Macaca fascicularis: one gene and its partner. The main gene of each other region encodes a partner of the protein of the gene in region 2 in a complex. Links are inferred from orthologs where the notes say so. Each region holds a gene or a part of one and is shown on either strand. Other genes may lie near its edges. The genes, in order: DEK and MYBBP1A.

Region 1 (4,288 bases), on a different chromosome or scaffold from region 2:
GGCAATAAGAGCAAAACTCTGTTTCAAAAAACAAACACACACAGAAAACCAAAAACCAAACATAAGCCAAACCAGACTGTGTGGGGCCTACTGCACCTTTCTTTTGGCCTTTCTCCCTTTTGGAATGGAAATTTTACCCAATGCCTGTACCATCACTGTATCCTGTGAGTAAATAACTTGTTTTTGATCTCACCGGCTCATAGGTGGAAGAAACTCATGTTCAGATGAAACTCTGGACTTACAGACTTGGGACTTTTGAGTTAATGCTGAAACAAGACTGGACTTTGGGGGACTACTGCGAAGGCACAACTGAATCTTGAAATGTGAGAAAGACATGAGATTTGGGGGACTGGGGGTGCAATGGTATGCTTTGGATGTTTGCCCCCTCCAAATTTCATGTTGAAAAGTGATTTGCAATGTTGGAGGTGAGGTCTGGTAAGGTGATTAAATCATGGGGGCAGATCCCTCATGAATGGCTTAGCATGGTAACTCTTAGTGATAAGTGAGTTCTCTCAAGATTTGTTTAAAAGAGCGTGGCACCTCCCCCTACCACTTGCTCCAACTTCCAAATGAGATGCCGGCTCCCCCTTTGTCTTCTGCCATGACTGGAAGTTTCCTGAGGCTTTCACCAGAAGCAGATGCTGGCGCCATGCTTCTTGTACCGTCTGCAGAACCACGAACCAATTAAACCTATTTTCCATAAATTACCCAGCCTCAAGTATTTCTTTATAGCAACGCAAAAAAAAAGAAAAAAACCCTAATACAGAAAGTATTTCACTGTCTGGCTTCCATGATGCCTCAATTCTAAAGTTAAAATATTCAGGGTTAAGTAGAATAAAAACTTTCACAATCCTACATGTCCCACAAACACCTCAAATTAGTAAAAAGAATAATAAATCAGAGCTACAATAAAACTGTTAGGGGATAAACTTTCTACAAAATCATGTTTTAAAAAATAATGTGTCTAGAACAAAACATGGGATTATTTCAACTACCAACTGTTCCCCAAGCATTACTGCGTTGGCCATTTACAGTATATTTACATGACTTCTCTAATTCTTTCCTGACATGAAAAAAATTCACCATTTCTTTGGCATCTCAACCCTGCCCCCACAAAAAGACTAAAATACAAACAAAAAATTGGAGAAAAAGTGCAGAGCCTCTTTGGCTAGTAGTGAGATAGTGCACCCAGTTTTGCTGTTGTATTAAAAATAATTTTAAAATAACATATTATTAAGCAATAGTTTATATAAAAACTTATACTCAAAAAGCCATGCTTTACTTAAAAATGCCCTTCTTAGGGCACATACCACTTTAAACAAACAAAAGGCACATCTTGTAATCTTAACCCAGATTGTGACCACAGGCTGGTTGAGGCTTAAAAAAAAAAATCCGGGTTTAGGAAGAGAGCTTCAACCTCTTCCCAAGTGTGCCTGAGTCGTAAACATATACGAAGTAAACCCAGACTAGGCTAATATCAAAGAATGCTGAGAGACGCGACTTATACGAAATAAATTCAGACTAGGCTAATATCAAAGAATGCTGAGACGCGACTTGGATTTTTAAATGTTTGGAAACAGTCAAGAAGCGGGTACACCTGAAACAGACACTGCATGCATCCTGGATAAACTGACGCGGCACACTCCTCCATTCTGTTAAGTTTCCGTTTCACATCTCCAGTCAAATCAGGGTTCATAACGCCCTCCCTTAAAACAGACTCAGGTTCGAAACCGAGACAGTGCTGGGCTCACATTTAACTTTCTTTCAGAGTTCACTTTTTTCATTTTTAACTACTTTCTCAAGTAGCAACAGCTTTCACCGCTGTTTGCCAGGGAGGGAAACTTTTTGGCAAATGTAAAAATATTTTTAAGCATTCAAATACTTACAGGTCTCGCCTTAATAACTTCAGTCTTAACAGACTGCACTAAGACCTTACAATAACTTCAAAAGGCAAAAGATGTGTCATGAAACGGACAAAATTAGAACATCCACTTAGCAACTTCAAAGGTGCACACACGGAGTTAAAAAAAAAAATCAAATCCAAGACCGACAAACTTCCCGTCAAACGATGAAATGTTAACGAGCATTCAGAGCGGGCGAGAAGTCGGCTGCACTCCAATACATCACTACTACGGTAACAAATACTTTAAAAACCGGAATTCACAAAGTCAATTCTACGCCATCGCTCAGCACAAAAGCAGATAAATTGTGCACACGTTCTCGCTGAAAATTACTCCGACTTTACGCCTCTAAGCACGAAAAGAGCAAGAAAACTTGTTTCCTGGGGGAAAAAAACAAAAAAACTTCGGTCTGAAAAATCCATCACTTGGGACGCGACTCCCCCCACCTTTTTCCTCCTCTTCCTCCTCGTCGTCGTCCTCGTCTTCTTCCTCCTCGCTCTCCTCTCTGGGACCAGGCATTTCGGGTTCTTTCTCGGATGCGGGCTGGGCGGGGGTTCCCTCTCCCTCCGCAGCAGGGGCCGAGGCGGACATGCTGTGAACCTTCGTACGGGGAGAAAGCCGGACGTCTCTGTCCCCCTACTCCTGCGGGTAGGACCCGGCGGCCACCCTGAAGGATGCGACCCTTCCCGCGGGACACCTGCCCTTAAAGTTGCGTCCTCCCGTAGCGCTCAGTCCCCAGGGGCGGCTTCCCTCCCGCTACGCCCGCCGCCGTCCAGGGATTCCCGAGGCGGGAAACCGCGCCCGCCGCCCCCGCGCGCGCGCGCCCGCCCGGCCTGCGCTGTTCCCGGCCCGGCCCGGCCCGAGCTGCCGGCCCTCCACGTCCCCTCCCCCGCCCCAGGCCGCCGTCCAAATGGCCGCGTCCCTCCCCCGTCGGCCGCGGCAGGGGCGACCGGGCCTCTGGTGTCCCGACGCAGCCCTCACCGCGGATCCCGGCCGCCACGGGCCTGGCACGCGAGGGCACGAGGAGGTTCTGGGAGGCGGCGGCGGCCGACGCCGAGGAGAAGGCGCGCGGGCCGCTGTCTGGCGTGACGCTCGCTGCCGCGCGCTCGGCTCCCCAGAATCAACAAGATTTTCAAAATGGCGGTTCGGGAAGGAGAGCGGGAATGCGGCGACCAATCAGGGCCGCGAGCTGGGAGTTGGCGGGCGCGGGGCGGGGGAGGCGGGGTGGCCGGGCGCCTCCACGGGAAGCCCGGGCGGGCGGGACCGCGAGGGGTCGCCTCGGCCGCGGGCAGAGGGATGCGCTCTCGGGGCTCTTCCCGGCTGCGCCTGGCGTGCGGTCGGCGCTCGGGCCCCGGAGTGCTTGCGGGCTGTGTCCCGCGGGGCGGGCGGGAGCGGGAGGCGAGGCGGCCTGGCAGCGCGGAACGGAAGGACGCTAGGGGGCCTGCGTGTTTATTGTCTTCACCGTCGCTTCCCGGAAAAGATGATGAGCAGTCCCGGGCGCGGAGGGGCGCGGCGGGCATCGGTGAAGAAGTTGAGAGATCCCTGAAGTCGCTATCTACAGTGTTTCTCCGAGGTGGAGGGGTATTAATCAGCCGTCTCATCAATGCCCCAGAAATCGTGCTGGGTGATAGATAATTTCCAAATCTGCTGTATTTCTGAGGACCCCATCGCTTGTAAGGTCTACCGTAAGGAAAAAGATCCTACCTGCCACGTTAAAGGTTCACATAGCCAACCACATAGATTTACACCCCTGTAAATATAAGGGGAATGGCTCCCTCCCACCCCATTCCTTCCCCTCTCCTCTCTCACACACTGTTCTATAGTAGAGGTAATTTGGCCGGTCCAGACCCTTCTACCTGAGTTCTAGGCCATCTATGCAAATGTTTTTACACATTCAACACTGCAGACACTCAAAGAAGTATCTTCCCTGCTCAGTGCTGCCTTCTTTTGTATGTGATTTCATTTTCTCCCAAATCTTCAACCACTAGCTCACCCAAAGGATCCTTGTACTCAGTGGACTTAATGGAAATGGGATCAGTGAAATTTGCTAGGACTCCCGGTTGCAGGACAAAAATTTGACATTTCCTTTGAATCTTCCCTTTTCCCTTTGTTCCCCTTCCAAAACATACACAAACAGTGTCATTTCTACCCTCAAATTGTATACCATTTTTCCCACTATTGATTCCACTCAAATCCTATCCAAACTCTACAGCTCGTCTCTCCTTGTTGCCTGAAATGTGGTTGGGAGTGGGGGGTTGTGTTTCAGCCCTATTTGTGTTACAACTCTCAGTCCTACCATTTGGCAGTCCCTGAGTTCTGGTCCTGTGTCCAGGAAGAATGAGGCACGCAAACAACTGGAGGGTGAGCAAGGTGGACAGGAGCTTCAC
Region 2 (4,370 bases):
TCCCAAGTCGGGCAGTGGAGGCCCACGAGGGGCCAGCCTTGACTAGGATAACAAGGCAAACGTTTTATATATTTGTGACGCGCCAGGCACAGTTCTGGAGTTGCACTGCCCAATACAGTAGTCACAGCCACACGGGGCTGCTGAGCGCTTCAAAGGTGGCCAATCTGAACAGGGATGTGCCTAAGTGTAAAATACACACTGGATTCTGGAGACTACCTGACAAAAAGTGTGTAAGAGGCTGGGACCGGTGGCTCACGCCTGTAATGCCAGTACTTTGGGAGGCCGAGATGGGCGGATCACAAGGTCAGGAGATCGAGACCATCCTGGCTAACACGGTGAAACCCCATCTCTACTAAAAAACAAAAAAAATTAGCTGGGTGAGGTGGCAGGCGCCTGTAGTCCCAGCTACTCGGGAGGCTGAGGCAGGAGAATGGTGTGAACCCGGGAGGCGGAGCTTGCAGTGAGCTGAGATCGTGCCACTGCACTCCAGCCTGGGTGACAGAGCGAGACTCCGTCTCAAAAAAAAAAAAAAAAAAAAGCATGTAAGATACCTCAACGGTTTTTTATACCAATGCATACTGCAGTAATATTTTAGATATACCAGACGAAGTAAAATGTTACTAAATGACACCTGTTTCTTTTTACCTTTTCGACTAAGTCACTGAAACACTTCAAATTATACATCTCTGTATTTCTATGGAACAATGCTGTTCCAGACTCTCATCCAAGCCCCGATGATGTCTCTGTAACGGGAAGCGCTGGCCGAGCCCGCACAGCGGGTGAGCTCGTACCTCGGAGAGGACGTCCAGCAGGGCCTTCCCGGGCTGCTCCTGCAAGTGGTTCTGGTACTGGGCCAGGGCCTGCAGCAGCTTCACGGACTTCATCAGGGCCTCCTGGTCCTGGTCCCCACGGAACGACAGAGGGTATGAACAGGGCACACTACTGTCCCCTACCCATTCCAAGTCAGCCTACATTCCCCCAGCCCCTCCAAAGCTCTTACCTTCACCAGCCGGCCTGACTGAAAGAGGGCGAGTACTCCGAACAGGTTTGCAAAGAGAGCAGGTCTCAGCATTGTCTAGAAAAGGATTCCAGGCACAGGCATGAGGGGCCCTGGGACTCCCCGTTCCCCAAGCCTCCCACCCCTGGGGCTGCTGACGTCCCTGGATCCACTTACCTTCTTCACCTCACACAGGTCATATTTTTCTTGTATCTGCTGCAGGATGCTGCACAACGGGAGGTCCTCGAAAGACTGTAACAGCTGCCAGCAGTTGTGTGGCAGGAGGAAGAGGGGTTCAGGAGAGTGGCCCAGCTACATCTTCACAAACTTTAACCTCCTTTCCCCTTTCAACTTCTCCCAAGAAGCCTCAGGTCCCTAGTCCCACCCCAAGGACGCCTCTGGAGCTGCTCACATGGAACCAAGTCTCATCCCCCTGCTCTGTCTCCACCAGGGCTTCTGAAAGTACTTTATGAGATGGAGTCTCGCTCTGCTGCCCAGGCTGGAGTGCAGTGGTGCGATCTCGGTTCACTGCAACCTCCACCTCCTGGGTTCAAACGATTCTCCTGTCTCAGCCTCCTGAGTAGCTGGGATTACAGACACCCACCACTACGCCCCGCTAATTTTTGTTGTTTTTTTTCTTTTCTTTTTTTTTTTTTTTTTTGAGATGGAGTGTTGTCCTGTGGCCCAGGCTGGAGTACAGTGGCGTGATCTCGGCTCACTGCGGCCTCTGCCTCCTGGGTTCCAGTGATTCTGCTGCCTCAGCCTCCTGGATAGCTGGGATTACAGGCACACGCCACCACGTCCAGCTAATTTTTGTATTTGTAGTAGAGACGGGGCTTCACCATGTTGGCCAGGCTGGTCTTGAACTCCTGACCTCAGGTGATCCGCTCACCTCAGCCTCCCAAAGTGCTGAGATTACAGGCATGAACCACAATGCCCAGCACAAAAGTACCTTCTATAGCCCCTAGATTGCTCGTCTGAAATTCTCACCCACTGGGTCTTCTCTCCACACCTGGTCTGAGCTCCCCTCAGGCTGATCCTGCAGGCCTGGGTCTTTATTGTTCTTCCCCTTGTCAAGGCTCCTCAGAGGGTGGTCTACTGCAATCAGCTGAATGCCTTTGCAGGCCTAAGGGAGCCCACCCAGCGCGCACTGCTCCCAGCAAGTGTACCTAAGAGGCCGGGCAACCCAAGCACCAAATAGAAAACCTGGCCAGGCCTTGCTCACACTTTCTCCACCTTTATGTAAGGAGACCTCCCTCAGGTTGGCCTCCAATCAACTCTGCCACTCCCTACCTCTCTCTCGGGCTGCCCCTCCGCCGCAGCTGATACACCACACCTGCCCTCCTCACACCCCACCGTTTTGACCTGGATGGCTGGGATCCTGCCAGGAGCACCACCTCACCTGTGCCAGGGCCAAACTGTAACACGGCCGGGCTGTTTCTCGCGCAACCCCGAGTCCCGTGATTAGGCGCTTCAGGGCATATTTCATCTCGGACCCCTGCAGAACCAAGCGCACCCTCGTGTTCAATGGTGAAACAAGGTGCACGCCCCCGCGCACCTTGGCATCTAGGTTCGCGACCACGTGCCCCCCGTCCCAAATCCCTGGCCCGCCGCCTCTTCCTTGCCGGGATATGCGCGGCCCCTGCCCCAGACCCCGCCACTCCACCTTCGGCCTGCCGCGCAGATACTCCAGCAGCTTCTCCGTGGCCGCAAGTCGCGTCTCCTGCTCAGGCTTCGCAATGTCCCAGAAGAAGTCTAAGAACTCGCGGCTGTGCTTCAATAGGCCATGGCGGTCGGCAGGCCGGGCGCCACTCTGCGTCGCCTCTCCAGGAGACAGCGGCTCGGCGAGTTCCCTGCTCCCCATCCCCGCCACACTCACCGAAACACAAAACACGTGTGCCCCGGGCCCAGCAGCTTCCAGGTCAGGGCATGGCGCATGCGCACCGGTAGTGTCGGCGCGGAGGCGGAAGAACCTGGAGGGTCGGGGAAACCAAGAGGGGCGGGGCCACCGAGAGGGGCGGGGCCGGGGCGGATGACCCCCCCGAAAGGCGGGGAAGGGGCGGGGCCAGGGAAAGCGGCGTTTCCGCCTTAGCTCTGAGCGGAAGTCCCTAGCTGAGCGGCGCGTGGTCTTTCCCAGCCTTCTGCTCACACCCGTACTTTCCTGGCGGCTGTGGCATCTGCCCCTTTGGAGCCCCTTGGGGGCATTGCTGAGGGCCCATCTCGGAAACAAACCGAGGTGTAGCACATCGATCCGCCTCGTCCCCGATCGGCCCCTGCGCTCCGAACGTTGAGCCATTCAACAATTACTGGGCTCCTGCTGCGTTCCGTGCTAGGCGGTCGGAACAAAGCCGCTGCTCTCGTGGAGGAACACGGAGCCAAATGCATTAAAAAGGATCATAATTATGAAGAGAATTAGGAATGCAATTCTAATTGCAGGAGCTTTTTAAACGCTGGAACGTGAATACATCACCCGTTAAAAACACGGCTAATTACTATTAAATAGGGTCTACAATAATGATTTGAGGGGTTGGTCAGGGGAGGCCTCTGTGAGGAAGTGGCTTTTGGGATGAGAGCTGAGTGACAAGAAGGGCCCCCCTTCCCCGCACTCCTGCAAGTATCTAAGGGGACGAAATCCCAAGCCTTGCGATTTACAAAGGTCCAGGGCTGGAGGGGCTGAGGCTGGCGAGAAGCAAGGTTGCATGGGCCCCGGGCTAGGATTTCATTCTGAGGGTGATGGGAAATCACTGGTGAGTTTAATGCAGGGTCAGGCTTGGATCTGATTTACATTTTAACAAGATGATGCTGGCTGCTGTGTGGGGGATGGACTGTAGGTCTGCGCAGGTGGAAGCACGGGAAGACCATTTAGAAACTGGTGAACTGGACCCAGGGAAAATGAGAACAGGTCAGATTTGGGCTAATGTGGAGCAGGTTGGGGGGGTGATGGATTTGGATGTCGGGGAAGAGGAAATGAGGGGGATGCCAGGTTTGGGACCTAAATAACTGGGTACATTGTGATGCCATTATGGAGAAGAATTTTCTTGGGAGTGGGAGGTGGAGGTGGTGGGACCAAACGGTCTATTAAATCAGAGAAGCCTTTTACAATGGCAGGGGAGGGGAAGTGCTACTTACTGGTCACCGTTGCTTCTTGGTTTGAGAAGCTGTGTATAGAGGGCTGTGGTCCAGAGAGGACCTAACCCTGGGGGGAGGTCAGGGCTAACCTTCACCTTGAATTTCCACATGCTCAACTCCAATCCCTTTGTACCCAAGCCCCTGGGGCACCTTCTCACCCTCTCAACCGCTTCTCTGCTTTGCTGTCTGTTCTAGAAAGTGAAATGAAAACATTCACCTTGCACATCTGGTGCCCCAGGAGGCA

What was found.
Region 1: MYBBP1A (region 2) and DEK share a complex: the UniProt entries of both Homo sapiens proteins name them as parts of the B-WICH complex. The link is inferred for Macaca fascicularis from reciprocal best matches to the Homo sapiens genes MYBBP1A and DEK.

What each region holds. Positions count from the first base shown.
Region 1 is NC_088378.1:154,648,162-154,652,449, reverse strand, and holds the start of DEK (protein DEK), read right to left. Parts: upstream 3,030-4,288; 5' UTR 2,883-3,029; intron 2,544-2,882; 5' UTR 2,493-2,543; coding exon 2,348-2,492; intron 1-2,347. UniProt on the Homo sapiens protein: Involved in chromatin organization.
Region 2 is NC_088390.1:4,642,440-4,646,809, forward strand, and holds the start of MYBBP1A (myb-binding protein 1A), read right to left. Parts: upstream 2,922-4,370; 5' UTR 2,862-2,921; coding exon 2,664-2,861; intron 2,496-2,663; coding exon 2,400-2,495; intron 1,259-2,399; coding exon 1,175-1,258; intron 1,076-1,174; coding exon 1,001-1,075; intron 900-1,000; coding exon 792-899; intron 1-791. UniProt on the Homo sapiens protein: May activate or repress transcription via interactions with sequence specific DNA-binding proteins. Repression may be mediated at least in part by histone deacetylase activity (HDAC activity).